4 linked regions of the Drosophila melanogaster genome follow. The protein of the gene in region 4 interacts with the protein of the main gene of each other region in a pairwise test. Each region holds a gene or a part of one and is shown on either strand. Other genes may lie near its edges.

Region 1 (5,013 bases), on a different chromosome or scaffold from region 4:
GAAAAAACAAAAACTTTCATTTCTCGCTGCTTTCCAAATGAGGTAAGTGGCTGTTTAGCTGGTGGAGGTGGCTTTTTGGTTTTGGTTTGGTATTGGCGGCACCTGCTCAGCAAACCAAAACATGCCGCAAGCATTTAGCTTGCGTAATCCCAAGAATTTATGCTCGAGCATTTGAAAGCGAAAGTATTTCTCCCTCGACATTTTGGTATGCGGGGGCGCTGTGGTTGCGCAACTCGTAATAAAAGCCGGATAACCGGATACAAGCGAAATTAGTGCCTTAAATATCACTTATCACCTGGGACATCGCAAATCGAATTGCGCAAATGATGGGCCAAGCTAATTACAAAACTATTGCCACAGTCGTCGTCGCCACTGAGCCGCAGAAAAGTGTCCCAAAACAATGTGACAATTGCAACAGAGCAATACTTAAGGTAGCTGCTAGTAGCTACTCTATATATATGAAAAACCATAAAGCAAGCGCTGACAAAACAAAGCAGCCGCCAAATGGAGCAGCTGAAGAAAGCAAGAGTGGCTCGGCAAATGTATAGCCACAAGTACCCGTACTTGTTGGCCACGTCTCGAGTGTGGGCCTCATTCTGGCCCAGACCAAACCAGACTTGTGCAACTCGGCAACTTGGCGAGGGTATCCACATAAACCGCCTGCCGCAGATAGATATATATACATATATACAGATATATATGTGCCCAGATGAACATTAGCAATCAATCCACATCCGTGACCAAGACACGGAGTGTGAGAAAAAATTCAGTAGGCCAAGATACTTCAACTTGTCGGTCTAGAAGGAAAACACAGAGACAAAACGGAGCAAAAAGCCCCAAATGGTTGCCTTGCTCTACCAGCCGGGTGCTGACTAATCAACTGTGTGGGTATTCCAGGGGTGCCGAAGGAGGATCAGGGGGTCTTACGGAGGCCGTACATGCAACTGCAAATCACGATTTAGTTCCAGCGAACCAGCAATAAATGCCCGGCCTGGAAGCCATTTGAATTGATTTTTTAGTTTTTACCTCCGCTTAAATGCACTTTGAATCTGATATTGCTGAATGCATTGCAATTACTCACATTTAGAATTCAGTGCGTGTCACTAGTGCGAGATAATTATGGTTTTGAAAGACCGCTGGGCATATTCGATATTGATCTTTGAAATTGAAATTCTCTTTGGTATGGCTAAATCATCTGGGATAATTTAAGTTGTAATATAAACAAAGGTATGGTTGCATTGATTTCTCAATTCGTGAGTAATCAACACCAAAACTTGTGCGCATTAGGATCTGCAACGCATTCCATCGAACAAAGCCAACTAATGAAGCAAGTTTGTGTCTTAAGTCTTTTGTTTGGCCCGCTGAGAAAGTCGTAATCCGGGCTCAACGCTTGACAAATTGAACATTATGCGGTTGAGTAATTGAAAGCCGTGAAAGACGAAGACCACACGGGTAGGATCGCTGGGCACGTGCTAAGTGACGAGTGATGGAAGCTTCTGCAGCTACGCAAAGTCATTCGCACGTTTCACTTTCATCGGAGGAAGGTGAGGGAGGGGTAGGAATATGAATTGGCGGCGGAGGAGGCTAGTGGCAAATAAACACATCAGGCGCCACATTAAGACATGACAATAAAGAAAAAGTGAGTCTGAGCAGTATTATATTTTCTTGACACTTTCGCGAGTTTTGTTTCGCCACTTCCCCCCTCACCACTCCGCTGCCAACCCATCCCTCTTTTATATCGGCTGGCATTGGCCGATGCGGCGGCTACGTGATTTCAGCCCGTTGCCAAAGGCTACGATATGGACTTTGCTGGACGTGCGACAGGCAATTGGCCGGCCGGCGGCCATCGCCTGCGTTTATTGTAATTAGAAAGTATTTAATTTCGAAAACGCTGTCCGCTCGCACATAAAAAAAAAAACAAAGTTCGCATAAATATAAATAAAGAAATACATATATAAAACGAATAAGACGCTACGGCGTAATTTATGATTTCCCTCTTCTGTTTGCCCTCATGTTAAAATGACAAACAAACGAATAAGTGTACACATTAGTTCCGTTAAAGATCAGATGCCACATCGAAGATTAGGGAAGAGAAATGTCTGGCCCTCGGAAGTGGGGTCTGTATGCAAATTGGCCTGATAAACAAGATTTTTCTTGTACGAAACATAAAATTTCTCCAGGTGAAAATTGGGTTAATGAAGTGGCAATGGAGATAGACTTAGAGATGTAGATGAAAAACCCAAAACGAACCCACAGAATACTGATGGACCAGTTTCTTTTCTTTTGGTCAGGGGTCTGGCCACCTTATCTTTTAACGAGGAAGTCTGCCCATAAAGCTTGACTCAACTTGACTCTCTAGAGGATGGACGGTTGTTTTGGTTAGATGTATGGTCCATAAGTCTTTGGGCAAACAAATTGCATGCCAGTTAACGAGTGTCGGTGGGCAAAAACAAAATGAAATTTCCAAATAATTAGAGCATGAAAAAATAAACAGCAAAATTGCCAAGACAGTCGAATGCGTTGAGTGTGTGGTTAGTTGAATGGAGAGCTGAAATTTCTATTCGCCTTTTTTGGCAAAAAAAAAAAAAAAATAAAATAAATAAAAAATAAAAACCCCACTTACCACTCTCCTCTATTGCTTCTTCTTCTTCTTCCTGAACGGCAGCTGTTGTTTCTCTTTCACTTGGCTTAATTTAATTAAGATCCTAACTTGCCCAACTCGCCAAATTAGCAGCAATTCAAGCGTTTTACTTTTATTTTTGTATATTAATTATATTTTCGATTTCTTGAAATTCACTTTGACTTTATCCACTTGAGACGTCAGGAAGCTCACGCACTTTCGGCAAAAGATGCAAAATCAAATGTCGTTGGTACCACTGTGCGTATACTCGATGCGTATGAGTGTTACACTTACAAATCAAGTTATTACTATCTTGCGTTAACAGTTAGCCGGAGCTGGTTTTTAGACGCGTCTGCATCGTTGGCGTGCCGTTAACAGACTGAAGAAATGAAAAGCGTCGCGGGCCAAAGTAAGTAAGAGTGGTTCGCTCGTGGTTTTCATCCAACTGCCTCCGTCGAAGTCGACGCTGGCCGAGCAGTTAGCAGATCAGTAGGCAGCGCAGTCGCAGTCAGCGTTAACGGCGCAACTAAAGCGGCTTTAACAGCTTTTGGGCCAACAAAAGACTTGGTCAAACAGAGCGGTATAGCTCCTAGCTAAAAATGATCCTCCAATGATTTGTTGTGGTTAATTGAAATTAACAAAACGGGGATGGGGATAGAGTTTTGCCAAGGGGGAGTGTCCACAAGAATGCACTAAATGCAAATCAAGTCGGCCATAAATGCTAACTTGTTTTAGCGTTAGTTGCGGCGATGCTGTTCCAGTTTTGCAATCTTTGCTGGCGACAAGTTTTTACCACATTTGCTGGGAAAATCGATCCGACTGTGTGGGGGTCTTATGAATCGTGCTACACCCCTCGCTGATATATGTGATATATGTGTATATGTGCGGCTATATGGCCAGACATAACAACAATTCCATAATTCTGACTCAGTGCCATGTGGCATTCGAGCCGTGCATCTAGCTTTTAATTGGCTTTTTAGGCTTTGCTCTGCAGCCAAGGTCGTTTTCTTGCTACACAAATTCCATTATGAGTTTAATTGAATTGTTTGTTTTGGTTTTTTTTTCTTCTCTCGTACGCGTTTCCTCGTATTTTTGTTTGTTTTGTTAGGAAACCTATAAACCGATTGACATTTAGCAATTAAAACGCGTAGAAACCATTTTTTCTTCGCTGGCCTTTGCCGCATTTCTTTTGTTACAAATTGGTTACAAACTTTATAAAACCTATAATAACAAAAAGTGCGAAATTGGGATTAAATATGTGGTTGAAATGTTTGCAATCAAGTAGCGCAGGTAGAAATAAATATTTAAATCTTTTTATAATATTTTCCAGATAATATTTTGGTGTTTAAAATACATTTTTGTGCTCAGCTTGTTGCCAAATATTTCTTTGGTCTGCTAGAATTGGCCTTAAAAAGAGGTCTTTTTCAACTTCTTTTGGGGCAATTAAAATATTCTCATGCCGGCAGCCGCACAATTTCCGTTAAGCAAACAATTGTCTAAGTGAGACGTTTATGGATCGTGGAAATCAAGTTAATTAGCATATCGTTCAGCGTCCGCCATTATCCATTATGCATTGGGTAACCCAAACGAGATGCTCGGACGCTTTTCAATCGCATTTTTTTTTCAATTTCAATTTTCCAGCGGCAATTGCGACGGGCGATGAGTGCATTGACAGGAGCAGCAACATCGTCGCCGCAAATCCAATCAGTCAACTTGTCATAACGCCTGCCCACCTGTCTGTCCGTGTGCCTCACCTGCCGCCTCAGGTGGGCGTGAGTTATGTGCGGACTGATGACGTACGAGGAAGGTTTCCACCTCATGGCCTAAGTTATGTGACGGGATCTCTTGGCGTTCGGAGATCATTCAACCGCGACTCGCGTCTTGAACTTCCGCTGAATGTTATTTAGTTGGCTTGCAACTCTGTTTCTAGAACAAAGCACTTTCACCTGCCTCGCAGATAGAGAATCAAATTCAATCGAATTCAATTGGCAGCCAATGGTTGGGGGACGGCAATTAGCGTTGACCTTTTCACAGGTGTCTCACTGAAATGGCTCACACGCCCAAGGTGGCGCTGCCAAATGGCAAAGGTAACAGATCGCGACCTTCAGGCCCCTGTTTATGAATGGCTTTTCCCAAGCTCTTTGCGCATTTTCCGCGACGTATGCGGAAAAGAGTAACGAGATTTGCATAAAATTCGACACGAATATTTCCCACACTCCGACATAAAATAGATCAACTTAATTGGACATGTTTTTATGGCATAATTCAGACCAATTAGACGTAGAATCTTTTGGGCCAGGTGCAGATAAACCGTCGCTTGTGATTCGCAACTGATGCTGATGCAACGCTGACAAGAAGACATAAATATCACTTATGCAATCGAAAGGAGAGAG
Region 2 (4,992 bases), 5.1 Mb from region 4:
TATCAATCAATCGTAAGTTTCTTCAATTGCTTTTTCGCAGGTGTTATCAATATCTTTGATTAGATAATGAGCTTAAGCCCAAATTCTAATCATAATGGCAGGAAAATTTCACATTTTATAAGGCAAGATTCATCTTATTTGATTTCTTATTTTACTTGGCCAAAAAAGAAAAAAGAAAAAAATTTCTTTTGTTGGCATTGGTTTGGTAATAGTAGAAAACCAAACAACTGACCACCAAACAATCGACGCTGACTAGTTGATTTTTTCCTTTATTTCAATTGTTGGTAAGCTGCTCGATTTTTTCATTAATTTCTTTTTTCGCATGTTTTTCACTTTCTTCCGCCGAGTTGAAAGTGAAATTTGATGGCATTTCTTTATACATCATCATCATTACACATTTTACTTAAATTCTAATTGAGGTAGTTGAGATGCATACATTTTTTGTTTATCTTCGGATTGCATCATTACAAAAGATGGTTAAGTGTAATTGGCTTACAAATATATGGAAAATATTTGTAACATTACAAATGTTTATTAATACATAGATGCAAAATAAATGATTAGGATTACGGAATTGGTCTGTGTATTACATTAGCAATTTTTTTCGAATGGTGTTGAATGATGAATAGATTTTTAAATGCTACACTATTCCGATTTCCCTCCGGATTCTATTTTACATCTTGTTGCCGTGGTTTGAATTACGAGAGCAGCTGGCATTGGCGTCCTGTGGCTCACCGAACATAAAATGCGAAACATATTCCGGAATATATACCGGCCAGCAAGGATGCTGCTGCGCTTCGGCCTGATAAGTTTCGCTAATCAATGGCGGTTGATTTAAATTTGAACCATTAGCCGTCGGCATTTGGTTATACTTTGGCATGAAGCCTGACTGCTGGGACATCGGAAAACCAGTCGGAGGATAGCCGTAAGCGGATGTCGATTGAGCGTTGTAATAGGAATTGGAACCATAGCCGAAACCTTGCGCCGATTGGTAGTTATCAAATTGGATATTCGGGCGATTTGAAGATGAAATCGAATCATTGCCCGGATAATTTTCGCGCAGATTGCGGATTACGGTCATGAAGGCCTCCTCCAATGGATAATCCTTCCGGCGAGAATTCGTTCCACCCGCAATCGATTGAGGATGGCCCGACCTATCGGCACCCAAGGCAGAGCCTCTCGGCGAAGAGTTGAGACCCGGCTGGGATTTCGTCCTCGAGGGCTCAGCTTTCTTGGAGCCATTGGCAGCGGCAATGTTTTCGCTGGCCTCCGGTGGATGAAACTCCGGATATGAGAAGAAATCCCGGGCAATCTTCTTCAGATTCTGCATGCTGAATGGGTCAGCTGAAGAATCGCTAGTTCCGAAAAACCCCTGGCTTTTAACCGATTGACTGGGCCAAGTGAACGTGGCGGATGATGAGCTGGTATCCGGACATTTCTGCTTTTCGCCCGAAACATTGCCATGATGACAACACGATCCAATTTGATTGACAGATGAGCCCTCCTTGGGTGGAGGAGCATTCACTGCGGTGGGCCCGTCTTGCTTATTGGCCACAACGCTTGAATACAACTGCTTGGGACGGCTCTTGTCCTCGTGCTGATTGGGCTTCTCCTGCTTGGATGCTTCATTGCCATTTTGTTGCATCTTCGACGATGGATTCCTTCGATTGCGTTGCATCTGCTTAGATTGATTATGCTGAAAGTACTATTTTATGCGATAAGCCCGCTTTTTGCACTATACTTATTGCTTCACCTGTTTCACAGTGTCCTCCGGCACCACGTGGTTCAGCCCCTGCATTGGCACCTTTCCAGCTCGCTCGGAATTTGGGCGAGCCGCATTTTTGCCCTGTTTCTTGCTATAAGCAGGATTCGGTGGAATGATGGACTGCCTCATCGACGGCTGCTGTATAATTTTTGGGGGTTCCAAAATACACGCGGCCTTTGCTATGTTCTGATTTTGTGATTTGATCAAACGTTTGAGTTGCGCCTGTGACATTCTGGGAAATTTTTTGTGTGGCATTTTGATTGGAATTTTAGTTTTTTTTTTTTCAAACGTTAGTACGTGTAATCCGGAGGTATACGAAACTGAATAGAGCTCAGGCAATTCCAAATGACATTCGAGTTGACAGAAGGCACTGCTTACTTGAAATTTGTTGGCGATTCTTTTTCTAGAACATGAGGTTAGGTTTCCCACTTTCGGCCAATCACTGCTAAGTTCATCAGCAAATTAAACAATACTGGATTTATCTAAACTTATTTAAACACTAAAATGAATTATGCAATACTAGATAAATATGTAGTTATTGGAACATTATACAGCACTGGATGTATCTAAACTTATTCTAACAAAATCTAAACCTAATTATACAATGCTAGATAAACAAGATAAGATGAACATAAACATATGCACACACACACACACACACACAGTACATGAAAAGCTTATTCAACACTGGATATAAATCAAAACAAAAACAAACTTAACTTAATTTGGATTCAAAACACTGAATCAAATGGTGGATTATTTTAGACCAAACCATTGTTGAGTCTTAATAATATTATTAATTTATGATACAAGTTATGTACTCTTACAAATACATTTCTCTTATTTAAAACATCATTTGCTAGACTAGAAAACAACCTTTGTATGTATGTAAGAGTATGTATTTATCTATTTATTTATGTATGTAACCTTATAGGCACATCATTTGAACCTTCTGATTTCCACATCATCTTTAGTTATTGATGTTATCGCCCGATCTATGTGTGAATATCATATCATCGTTTTACGCAACTTCCACCCTATATTTATTGTACACCCCCCGCCAAAAAAGAAAAAAATCCCCATAGCAACAATGGCGAATGCCAAGATGCGATTTCCCTGGGCCCCAAAAGACCCAAGTTGCGTTTTCAGTTCGCTCCGCATTTCGTCTTTTGGTTTTTGCTATTGTTTTGATGGAAGCTGCAATTGCAGTTGCAACTGCTGACTGGCAACCGGATATGGTCACGAAAATCTGAAATCTCATATCCATATGCGAGTGACGCTCTGCATATGATTTGCAGATGTTGATGTTGCTTGTTTTCCCTTTTCCCAATTTCCCTTATTTTCCTTGCGTTACTACTTACAGTTTTAGTTGTTCCTACTTTGATTTCCTCAGTGTGTGGCTTGAGTTTTCCTTAGTATTCCGCCCTAGTGAATATTTAATTTGTTTCCTTCTTGCACTTCAGATGCAACTGCAAGTAAATCAAGTAATAAAATTAAACATTTTATAAGAAAGAAATGTATATTACTTTAAGGCCCGTGCCAAGGAATATGTATATACTACTTTTCTAACAACTTGTCATAATTTGATGTAAATTTCCAAGCTACTTAAGTTGATCAGTTGAGTGGCACAATACTGACTTGAAGGACAATATCTAGATTACTCGGATCTCAAGATTTCTGCTCTGTTTTGGATGCCCGCTGACGTGGACACACTCAGATGCGCTCCAGTGCCGATCCGGCTGGGTAAGCTCACCGATCTTAGCCAGATATCGACCCCCAGCCCACTCCCTTTTGTATCCCTTGAACTGTGGTGTAATTCGACTCAGTTTTTGTTTTCCGCTTCTGGCTGCGTTTTTGGCCAATCAAAGCAAGACTTGCCTTGGCTTTTGGCTTATTAATTATAATTAATAATTGCTACCCACTGGGCTGAGTCAGAGATTATGTTTACGTTTTGGTATCACCCTATAAGTTTGCGATGCTTATGCAATGCGCTGCAATTAATTGCGATAAGAACGTGCTCGAGTGTAACGTGAACCACTGCTATGGGTTGGGTTCAGAACCCCTGCAAATGACGTACATAGTTACTACAGCAGGGGGCAAATTACTAGCAGACATATTACCTTATTTGACTAAATAACACTTTGAACTTTGAATATCATAAGCGCGTTCACATTAGAGGTTTAATATAATGCAAATGCTGAGTTGTCCATTGAATTGATTAGTTGTTATTAAATCCGATTTATAGTCACAGTATTTGTAAGAATAATACTTTATAAGCCATGTACACTTTTGCCCATTATTGTGCACATTTTTCTGAAGGGCGCACCCATATGACGCGTTTGTGTTTCTTTGGTTCTGGGCTGAGAAAGTGACAAAACACAAAACAAATTTCGTTGACCATGTTTGGAGTGGCGCTGCTTCTTATTCTGTTTTGGTTTCGGCTTCTAGGTTTGTTTTCCGTTTCCATTTCTGTTTTCGTCTCGTTTTCCATTTCCATGCGACGTGGTCGGAATGACCAAGTGGTGCTCCACTATTGGGGACAGCGGTTTGTTGTTGTAGTTGTGGGTGCTCGATTAGCTGACACCGATTCTCGATGGTTGATAAGGCTAGTTCAGTTGGCCGTCCGCAAGACTGGGCCAAGTCGATTTTAATCGCATTGATTTCGTTTAAGTGCAAGCAAAACTATTTACCCCAACTCCCTCAAGGGGGTTTGGTTTGACCTCAAAACGGGCGGTTTGACCAGCAAATACTAACCTCTTTCCTTTGCTATCTTGCCTTTATTAATTCATTTTGGGTACTAGTTTGATCGCTTACTAAAACCCCTACTGAATAAACTATAACTGACCTTATTCACTGTCCGATATGATACCACCATCTATTATTTACCATTTGTTGGCTTTTATTACTTACTGGCCAAGCCAAAGCCAAGTTATTCTGGTTACTAGCCAATAAGCATTAAAATACAGCGTTTTGTTTGGCGAAATCAATTAGTAAATTAAACAAATGAAGACATTAATGCTATTAAAGAGTGTTAATCATTCAATGTGGTTCATATGGCTGCCTTTCTCTTCACTTCTTTTATTTTTTCCACGTTTTTGCTTCAATATTTAGCAGTTTGTCATCTCTTGAATGATGATGATGGTCAAAATATTGCTACCATCGTTCGTTCAACTCGTTGCCGATTTGCAAATCTGGCTAAGAGCTGGCACGCCACATCCGAACATGCA
Region 3 (4,695 bases), on a different chromosome or scaffold from region 4:
AGCCGAATGCTTCTCCATGACACAGAGCCCATGACCAGATCCGCCGCATTAGCTACATATATGTGTAGTATCACCATGGTGTGCGTGCTGATGATAAGCGCACGGAGAATCAAATCGTGCGCCAGCCGATCAATAACCCAAAATGTAAACAAAACCAACTGTCGAACGCGGTCACGCATGCGTTCGAATAGCCTACTGAAATACTACCAATCGCAATTTGGCCCACTATTAGTTGGTTAACTGGTTTTCTTGCGAGGGGGAGAAGCTGACATTTCCAAGACGATCCGCATTCTATGCAGATTAGAGCCGCCACCGCCGAAAGGCAAGCGATTTTCCAGCTGCGCGAGCAGGAAACTCGTTCCGTTCGCAGGTTAATGACACAAACATTATGTTATTAATGCAGTTGCAGTATATGGCCATTAGCTAACAAAACCCCACCGATGAGCTAATGATGTACGAGCGGTCAGTCAGCAGGCACGCAATATAATCGCACTGAATTATCTACGGACAGGCAATTTCGAAACATCAAAGAATTCGAAAGAAGCTGACACAGCTGGACATGCGATGCGCAGCGAAATGGATATATTTTCAGTCTCAGTCTGCGGCAGAAGAAAGTGTGTGGAATTGAATTAACAAGACGGCAACAATTTCTAAACAAAAGCGTGTCTTAGAGGGCAATATATGTGGAAATTGTAGTAAAATTGATAAGCTCTTAAAATCTCATTAAAAATAAAACTATAATAATGAATCCAGAAGTTCCGAAGAGCATGTCAAAATAGCAACCCAGCCCTGAAGCTAACAGAAATTCAACACACCACTCGGCAGGCGAGTTACCGCTCTGGAAAAGCGATTTTCCAATGCGCAGGCTCACTCATCAGTCAGGAAATTACGGAAAAATGCGAGAGGGTGGAGAAATTGTGTGCGAGAGCGGAGCATAAATGAAAATGTGTTACAGCCACTTGGCTGGCAGGGAAGGAAGGTAGGGAATCTGCATAAACTGCCTATGCCACGTTATGATGAATCATCTGGTTGGGTTAGGCATGCCACATTTCACGTGAACTTCGGAGTGGGAGTTGGTGGAAATGGGTGGTTATCGGTGGTGGGCGGGGGTTCAGTCATTTGCCTGCCCAAAGGAGTGGAGTACATAAATGATGTATGACCCAAGCCAGACAGCGTGACTGCGGCTAATGGCAGCTGTTTTAGCTGGCCAACGACCATTTGGCAGACGTTCTACGGAAAGCATTCTTCGATTATTATCTATAATCAATACAAGAAGTTACGACAAACGACTTCCGGCATTACACAAACGAGAAAGGTTGCCCAAAATGGAAATCAATCGAGTCATTAGAAGGCGAGGGTCGCCACGCCACTGAAAATGCAAATGATTCGAAGTTTTTCTCCCAAGAACCATTGATTGGAAACGCTAGTCGAGGGGCTCCCAATCGCATCGATACGTCTGAATGCGCAGAAAAGATTTACGTGTGACTTCGGTTCCAAAAGCTTGATTATGACCACATATATTTCCATAAACAAAGCGAAGCTTTAGTCAGCGCCAAGCTCGAATTACTGTGTTTGTTTCTTTTTTTTTTTTTTTTGTATTTAACGTTTTCAGTATTTCGATATGGTGTTCCAAACGAGTTTAACGAAAAGACCTCAAAGATAGCCAAGTTAGTTCTTAGTCACTGCAAGGCACAGATACAATTCAACTTCCGCTAACTTTCATCAACAACAATGTTGAATCTGATTAAGATATCATACTACATTATTACAACGAAATGAGTACATTAAATAAGTTGGAGATTACTCCTAACATACTCTAATCCATGTTGTACAATAAGATTTAAAGTAAGCCATTAAAATGGTTTATACATACATATATCTTAGGAAAATGAAAGAGATGTTTAGAGTTACGGAAGTAGGCCTGCACTGCAGAACTCCAGTAGTGCACCTCGCTCGTGGCTAGCGATAATTATCAAGTTAATAACTCAACACTAATTAGTCAGGTGCTTTGATGGACGGTCGGGCTGGTGCGGGAGGGGCGGGGCAATGCGACCCTAGGTCGCGGACCAAAAACAAAAAGCCAGTATATCGCGCCGTCCAATGTGAAAACGAAAGCGATACGATTTTTTTTTGTCGGCGAGCAGGAAAATCGGCCGCTGGATGGGAAACGAAAATCAAAGTCGAGAAACGAAAAGCCCAGGTGGAATGCGGCGGAATGGGAAACTGGAGCTCTCGAAAGCAAACCAAATGCCAGGTAAATTAAATCGCAGCATCGGCGGCGGTAGCAAATCAACTTAATGACGATGGCTGGCAACTTTTCCAACAGTTTTTTCTTCCATTTTTTTTCTATTTTTTGTATTTTATCTGGCGATCGGATCGTGAGGTGAAATGAATTTAAGTTGCCTTTTTTAGGAGCCACAATAAAGGGGCTAAAAAATCGATGAGTGCTCAATTAACTGTTATTCGTAGTACGCCCACACACACACTCACGCGCGCGCACACATACAGATGCAGATACACTTGCAAATAAATAAAAATACATATGTATTACCTTTTTTAGTTGAACTTTTGGTGGCTTTTTGGCAATTGTCTCAACAAAACAACATCGTTTTCGCAATTGGGCCACTCCCACTACGATTTTTCGTTGCCAATATTACAATCCGGGCTTTATTTAGTTGCCCACCACTGTTAAATACAATTTACTTTTTGCAGTTATGTCAACTTCTCTCTTTCAGCGCGGCGTCCTTTGTTGTTGTCGTTGCAAAATTGTTCGTGTAAATTATGTACAATGGTGGTTGTTTCAGGTTGCAGGTGGTCTAAAACACTCGCGTTCGTTGGGTTTACGTGGTTTCGATTGCACTAGGTGCCGCACGCATAATTTGCAAATTGCAAATCGTCGTTTTCGTTTGTAATTTGGCTATTGGCTGGCTTTAACACGGAGAAAACTTTCGACGTTTCTTGTTGGTTTTCTTATAATGGTTGGATCGGCCAGTGTGTGCACACCGCGTCAAAAGTAAAACTCGGCGAACAGTTACTCGCATAGGGTGACCATCACATGGATGGTCATACAAAATAATGGTTACTACTGCAGGGCTTTGCCTGCAAATGCAGTGACATGGTCTGCCTAAGAAAGTAACAGTTCAATCACTGCTTTGCTGCCTGGGCTGCCAGGTAACAAAAAGTTATTAAAAACACAACTACTTCTCCTCTTAAGTTATTTGCAGCTAAATGGCAGAAAGTCTTTTATTTTCTACATCAATTGTAGACATTCATTTTACTTTAAAAACTATGTCCTTAAAAACATTTCTGGAATATCGATAGTTTCAGTTGACTTGGCAACCCTATTGCTGACGCCGCAATCAAAGGCCAACAAATTTGTTTACATCCAAAGAAATGCTAATAAATCATTTAATAGTCGTATTATTAATTAGTTTGGTAGGAACAGGAGGTGCAGAAGATGACGGACTTTGCAGTGCCGATCAAAAATCCTGTGCACAAAGTGAACCCGACCAAATAAACGAGGATGAATGTAAGCAACTTGTTGCCGGCTTCGATTAATTAATTAATCAATTAATTTAGTTAGCTTCAAGATACGTCGCCAGATCGAAAAAGCCAATGCCGACTACAAGCCGTGCAGCAGTGATCCCCAGGACAGCGACTGCTCCTGCCACGCAAATGTTCTGAAACGGGATCTCGCGCCCTACAAGTCAACAGGTGTCACCCGGCAGATGATCGAGAGTTCAGCGCGTTACGGCACCAAATACAAGATCTACGGACATCGCCTGTACCGGGATGCCAACTGCATGTTCCCAGCCCGCTGTGAGGGCATTGAACACTTCCTGCTGCCGCTGGTGGCTACGCTGCCCGACATGGACTTGATCATCAATACCAGGGACTATCCGCAGCTGAATGCGGCGTGGGGTAACGCGGCTGGTGGTCCCGTCTTCTCCTTCTCCAAGACAAAGGAGTACCGCGACATCATGTATCCAGCGTGGACATTCTGGGCCGGAGGACCGGCCACCAAGCTCCATCCTCGTGGCATTGGACGCTGGGATCAGATGCGCGAGAAGCTGGAGAAGCGAGCGGCAGCTATACCCTGGTCACAGAAACGCAGTCTGGGCTTCTTTCGCGGTTCACGCACCTCGGACGAACGTGATTCTCTTATTCTGCTCTCGCGCCGCAATCCGGAGCTAGTCGAGGCTCAATACACCAAAAATCAGGGCTGGAAGTCGCCTAAGGATACACTGGACGCACCGGCTGCTGATGAGGTGTCCTTCGAGGACCACTGCAAGTACAAGTACTTGTTCAATTTCCGCGGTGTGGCCGCCAGTTTTCGTCTGAAGCACTTGTTCCTCTGCAAGTCGCTGGTCTTCCATGTGGGCGACGAGTGGCAGGAGTTCTTCTACGACCAACTAAAGCCCTGGGTGCACTATGTGCCGCTCAAGAGCTACCCCAGTCAGCAGGAGTACGAGCACATCTTGTCCTTTTTCAAGAAAAACGATGCGCTGGCCCAGGAGATCGCTCAGCGTGGATACGACTTCATCTGGGAGCATTTGCGCATGAAGGACATCAAGTGCTATTGGCGCAAGCTGCTCAAGCGATATGTGAAGCTGCTGCAATACGAGGTTAAGCCGGAGGATCAACTTATTTACATAGGGCCTAAAAAGGATGAGCTGTAGCGAAATGAAATGTTAT
Region 4 (4,997 bases):
CTAAAGTTAAGCATTGGCAGGCATTATTTTGAGAAAAGTGTGTACAACGTGGCGTATGAGCAATGTCATAACTTTGACCATTTGGCTACCACTCTATTCCGTTTTTAAAAAAGTTTTAAATTCCATATACATAACGAATTTATCAAGCAAACTTGTCTGCTGCTAAGAGCCTTAACTAGAAGTCATTAAATATCGCTTTAATTTATATATTTATATGTAGATGCAGATGAATTTCATACGTTTGTTGCATGCTTTTAGGCATTCGAACAAAATCATAATCTGTAATAATAGATTCTGTATCTAAGTTGGAAAATTGTATATGCCATGCTTATAAAACAGTAAACAAACTATTCATTTTCAGTTAATAAAACTTAACTTTATTCTGAAACAACGAATTTTTTTTTGTAACGATGCTGAATAAAATTTCAACAATTGCTTGCAATAACATTTTATTACAAAGCCAAAATATATATATAAATATCCCCATCCATATTATTCCTCAATTAAAACACATTAAAACTTTGATCGTTAGTTTAGCCATTTTATTTACTACTAATATCACTCAGTGTATATACATAGATTCGTTTGTGTCTTTGCTCGGGATTTGTGTGTGTGTTTGTTTTTTTTGTGTGTGTGTGTGCGTGTTTTTGTGTAGGCTAGATATATAACATATATCAGTGTATAATATCATATAAAATTGTGCTCCGTGTATAACACTAAAAAATGATAAAAAAAAATTTCGCTAGCTCTGTTTTACTCTTCATTTGCCTGTTGGAGTTGCACTTAAAAACTAAATACTTGCAGCTGGGGGGAAAATCGAGGATCGGGAATCGGGAATCGGGAATCAGGAATCGGGAATCGGGTGGGGCATAAATCTTGCGGGAGAAGGGTGTTGGATAAGGGTATATCTAAATAATAATCGCCTTATGCGGTGGGCAGATACAGACGAGATGGCGTCGCCAGGGGCACCTGAGGTGGCTGATAATCGTAGCCATTGCCGTTGCCATTTCCGTATCCGTTTCCAACTCCATTTCCATTTCCGTATGCGTTTCCAGCTCCATTTCCTTGTCCGTTTCCAACTCCATTTCCGTATCCGTTGCCAACTCCATTTCCGTATCCGTTTCCAACTCCATTACCGTAAGCATTGCCATTTCCATAGGGAGACGTGTAGCTATAGTCATCGCCACTCTGTCCACTGCCCCTCAGAGGACCTTGCGATCCTTGATCGGAGTCCAGGGTCTGCTGCAGGAACTGGAAACGGTTCTTGTTGCCCAACAGGCTGCTGGGATCCACGGTCTGGCGCTGTCCGGCAGAAGCCAAAGGCTGGGGTCTAAAATATATAAATATAAAATAAGTTTTTTATATTCATTATATCATTTGCAATAATAGTGTATGAAACTTCTGATTTGTACGCAAATGTGCTAGTTTGAAGAAGTTCTTAAACGTTTTTTTTGTAAAGTGTATTGGTTACTCACTCGGGAATGTCCAGATCCAGCTCGGTGATGGGATGATAGCCGAACTCATCGGCGGTGTAACGGGTCTTGTACCGCTTGCCATCGGCGCCGGTGAACGAGTAGGAGCCGCTGACCACGAAGGTCTTGTCGTCCTTCAGTTTGCCCACGCTGCTCACTTCGATGCCGTTCTGGGTCTTCAGTCTGAAAAAAAAGTTCATTTTAACTTTAGTAATGCTTCGTAAATTATTTAAAAAAATATATCAAATTACTTGATGCTTTGTAAATTATTTAAAAAAATATATCAAATTACTTGAATTTATTTGCTATGCATCAAAAGTTATTACAGATCTATAAACCTATGTTAAAGTAGTTTTCTTTTAGACTGCGATTCAACTTCATATATAAATATATAATTATGTTTTAATTTAGCCAAACACTATCACTTTATGAACTATATAGGTACCATAGATACTCACTCCAGCTTGAATTTCTTGCCCGAGTTGTAGTTCTGGAGGGTTTCGGTCTTGGCCTTCATGACATCGCCGCTAAAGTGCACCGCCGGCTTGTCGTCATCGATGTCCTCGGGCAGGGTGTAGATATCGCTGGGATTGTACTTGAAGAGGTCCAGATTGCGATCTGTCAGATGCTTGACATCGGCAGCGGCCAGAGCAGCGAAACCCAGAAGGATCAGCTAAAAGATAGAATGCCTGGTTAGTGCCACTTGTCACACGATGCATTAGTCATATCTGTGGATCACAGTCGTTACGATTTATTTTTTTCGCATTCGGATTTGGATACGGATTTTGATTTGGATTTGAATTGGGATTCGTATTTTGCATTTCGCATTAACGGGCAATTAATCAAAGTCGCGCGCGAATCGCTGGCGTTTCTGACCGCACAGCGTCGCTTTGTCTCGCAATTCTCTCGTTTATTTATTTTTTTTTTCGTTTTTTTTTTAGTCTTTTTAATTTTTTTTATCTATATTTGCTGTGATTTATTTGATTTGGTTTCGGGCCGAGGCACTAATCATAATGGGTTCCAACCGTTTCGATATTTGTCATTCGTCTGTTTTGACGTCGATGAGCTATGCGGCTGCTCAAGGTGATATTCAAACACTTTAGGTTTCGGACTTTCCTTAAAGTGTGGGTCATTAGTTCTTTAATTTGGCATACTAATTCTTAGGTAAAGCTTAAAAAAAACTAAAAAGCAGCCTCGCAGGAACTTCGGTTAAATTGATTTTAATGTGTATCTTTTGTTTGAGATTCAAAATAAGCTTTAAAGTCATTTCTGTGGCTTAAAAGTATTCACACTTTTGAAGGACATTTTTTGCGCGCACTTTCACTTGATCCTTTTTTTTATTGAGACACCACAAAAAAAAAAATAACTCATTAAATATATACTTTTCAGTACTTTCGGGCACTTACAAAACTCTTCATTTTTATGTGTGTTTTTTTTTTCGTAACGAGGACTAATTTATGTTTTTTTTTTTTTATTGTAGCGGCTCGGTTAGTTCCGATGCTCACAGATTCTAGCAAATAAATACAAACGATGCGACTTCTTGTTTCCTTATATATGGTATTATCAGCGACGCCGGCAGCGAAGTCGACAGAAATAGGAACCGGACAACGAACTGAGCCTCTGTCGGCGTCGCAGCCGCTTAGAATCAAAAAAAGCCAAAGTTTGTCAACGCTGAAATCGGTATGGTATATATGCATATATATATATATATATATATGTGTGTGTATGTGTGTGAGGAAGGGGATTAGCCCAGATGAGGGGCATCATCCATCGGTGAATCTTCAGCATCCAGAAGATGTAACATTTTACGGGTCTTCTGGACAATTCTCCCTTCTCGGTATCTCCGTTGCTGACGGAGACTGATCGCAGATCGAAAAGCATAGAAATCTGGTTTTCGTGGCAACAAAATTAGAAAACCGCCATCATCAAATTAGCATACACGTTTAATGATGATTCTCTTCCCTGAGTGTGTGTGTGTGTGTGTGGTGTGTGTGTCTGTGTGAGTGTGTGCATGTGCGTAAATTTAAATCTGCGTTAATTTTTTATAAAGCATGGAATATATATATATATATATATATACTAACTATATATATACTATACTAACTTGGGCGACCAGTTTATTTTAGCGGACACCCAAGTTCCAAGTTCCGAAAGTGCCGCTGAATGGAACCCGCAAATCTTTCATCCGTTTCTTCAGCGGAAAGAGGCGATGATGATTCTTCACCACTGATAAGATGCCCCATTCTCATTCTTCGGTTTCATATGCTAATATGCATATCAGTCAGCCTTCGCTTAATTAGCCGTTTCGTTTTCGGTCTTATCAAAATTTATCAAATGCGATTCTTCTGGCGGATCAGTGTCTGTCTTGGTGTCTTCGGTGCTTGGTGTCTTGGGATCTTCTTAAGAGATCGTGAGATCTTGGGCTCAAAAATGCCATTTAACCATTTCGGACCGCACAGGGTCATCGGATTTTCGCTTTCGGTAGCTTTTCAGCGTTTTGTATTTCCATCATTTGCATAGTTATTGGTTACACTAATGGCTCCATTTATGAAACTCTTTGTTTGGTCTTCTAAATCTTCCGAATTTACTTGTAAATTGCATTATTGTTATTTGATTGATGGTTCATGTTTGTATTGGGTTCTCAGAGCGCTTGCCTTGAATTCTAGTTATCTTAAGATAGTTATTCATATTCCATTTTTAAGGCCCCATAAAAATGTAATGTTCAAAATTTACCTTTTTTTAAACTAGTTCTCGATTAATTAATATTTATTTCCTTTTTGCCAATTTTAGAGCTCTAAAAGTAAACAGTTTATACAAATCCTGATATATGACAATATGGCTTATCAAACTGTTTTGAAAAATACAATGACACACATATACACCCAAAATTCAAGGTATAACGAAAATATTGTATATTTTAAAATGTTAATATTATAGACATATTCTTTCGATTTTCTGTTTGCTAAACCTGGCTTGCATTTGAACATATATATATCTATTATTTTTGAACTATTTTTTGGCCAACTTATAGATATTATACATTTATTCCTGGATTGGCGGGTTTTGCAAACATATTTTGATTGAACACTGCATTTATGGCTGTCAGCAATCAAGTCTATCACATTTTGTCTACCCAACGCGTGGATGAGATTGAAATCAAACCGGACCGGACACGCAGCTCTAATGATAATCGCTAATGGTGCTTCTAATTTAAGTTTTATGCTTAATAACTTAAACGAATGCCGCACGGCATTCATTTTTCATTCGAAAAGAAGTATCTCTTTTTTTTTTGGCCATTTAATTCTTCTTCTGGTTGGTTGTTTGATCTTCTTGGCCTAATGAAAACGTTTTGGCCATTTCAGCGACTTGTCAAATGTGTGATGGCTGTTAGTTAGTTAGTTCGTCTGGCTCAACCAACTGAGTTCGCCTTGGAAATTAACCTGGTGTTTCTGATGTTTGATGTCTGCTATTTCGTCCGTGTCTTTGATATCAAATCGCATTTGTTATGCATACTTGCACACGCCC

What was found.
Region 1: the proteins of Cpr11A (region 4) and CG15080 interact in a two-hybrid assay, tested with the Drosophila melanogaster proteins (one large-scale study listed by BioGRID).
Region 2: the proteins of Cpr11A (region 4) and CG12992 interact in a two-hybrid assay, tested with the Drosophila melanogaster proteins (one large-scale study listed by BioGRID).
Region 3: the proteins of Cpr11A (region 4) and Usp12-46 interact in a two-hybrid assay, tested with the Drosophila melanogaster proteins (one large-scale study listed by BioGRID).

The regions. Positions count from the first base shown.
Region 1 is NT_033778.4:18,781,289-18,786,301, reverse strand, and holds the start of CG15080 (uncharacterized protein), read right to left. Parts: upstream 3,004-5,013; 5' UTR 2,624-3,003; intron 1-2,623.
Region 2 is NC_004354.4:17,587,230-17,592,221, reverse strand, and holds CG12992 (uncharacterized protein), read right to left. Parts: upstream 3,358-4,992; 5' UTR 3,292-3,357; intron 3,235-3,291; 5' UTR 3,127-3,234; intron 2,265-3,126; exon of another isoform or gene 2,208-2,264; 5' UTR 2,021-2,207; coding exon 1,754-2,020; intron 1,706-1,753; coding exon 674-1,705; 3' UTR 516-673; downstream 1-515.
Region 3 is NT_033777.3:22,749,223-22,753,917, reverse strand, and holds the start of Usp12-46 (Ubiquitin-specific protease 12/46), read right to left. Parts: upstream 3,018-4,695; 5' UTR 2,552-3,017; intron 1-2,551. Other genes in the region: rumi, read left to right, coding at 3,394-3,529, 3,580-4,679. UniProt on the Drosophila melanogaster protein: Catalytic component of the Usp12-46 deubiquitylase complex.
Region 4 is NC_004354.4:12,484,975-12,489,971, reverse strand, and holds Cpr11A (cuticular protein 11A), read right to left. Parts: upstream 3,003-4,997; 5' UTR 2,891-3,002; coding exon 2,879-2,890; intron 2,146-2,878; coding exon 1,931-2,145; intron 1,656-1,930; coding exon 1,476-1,655; intron 1,331-1,475; coding exon 925-1,330; 3' UTR 524-924; downstream 1-523.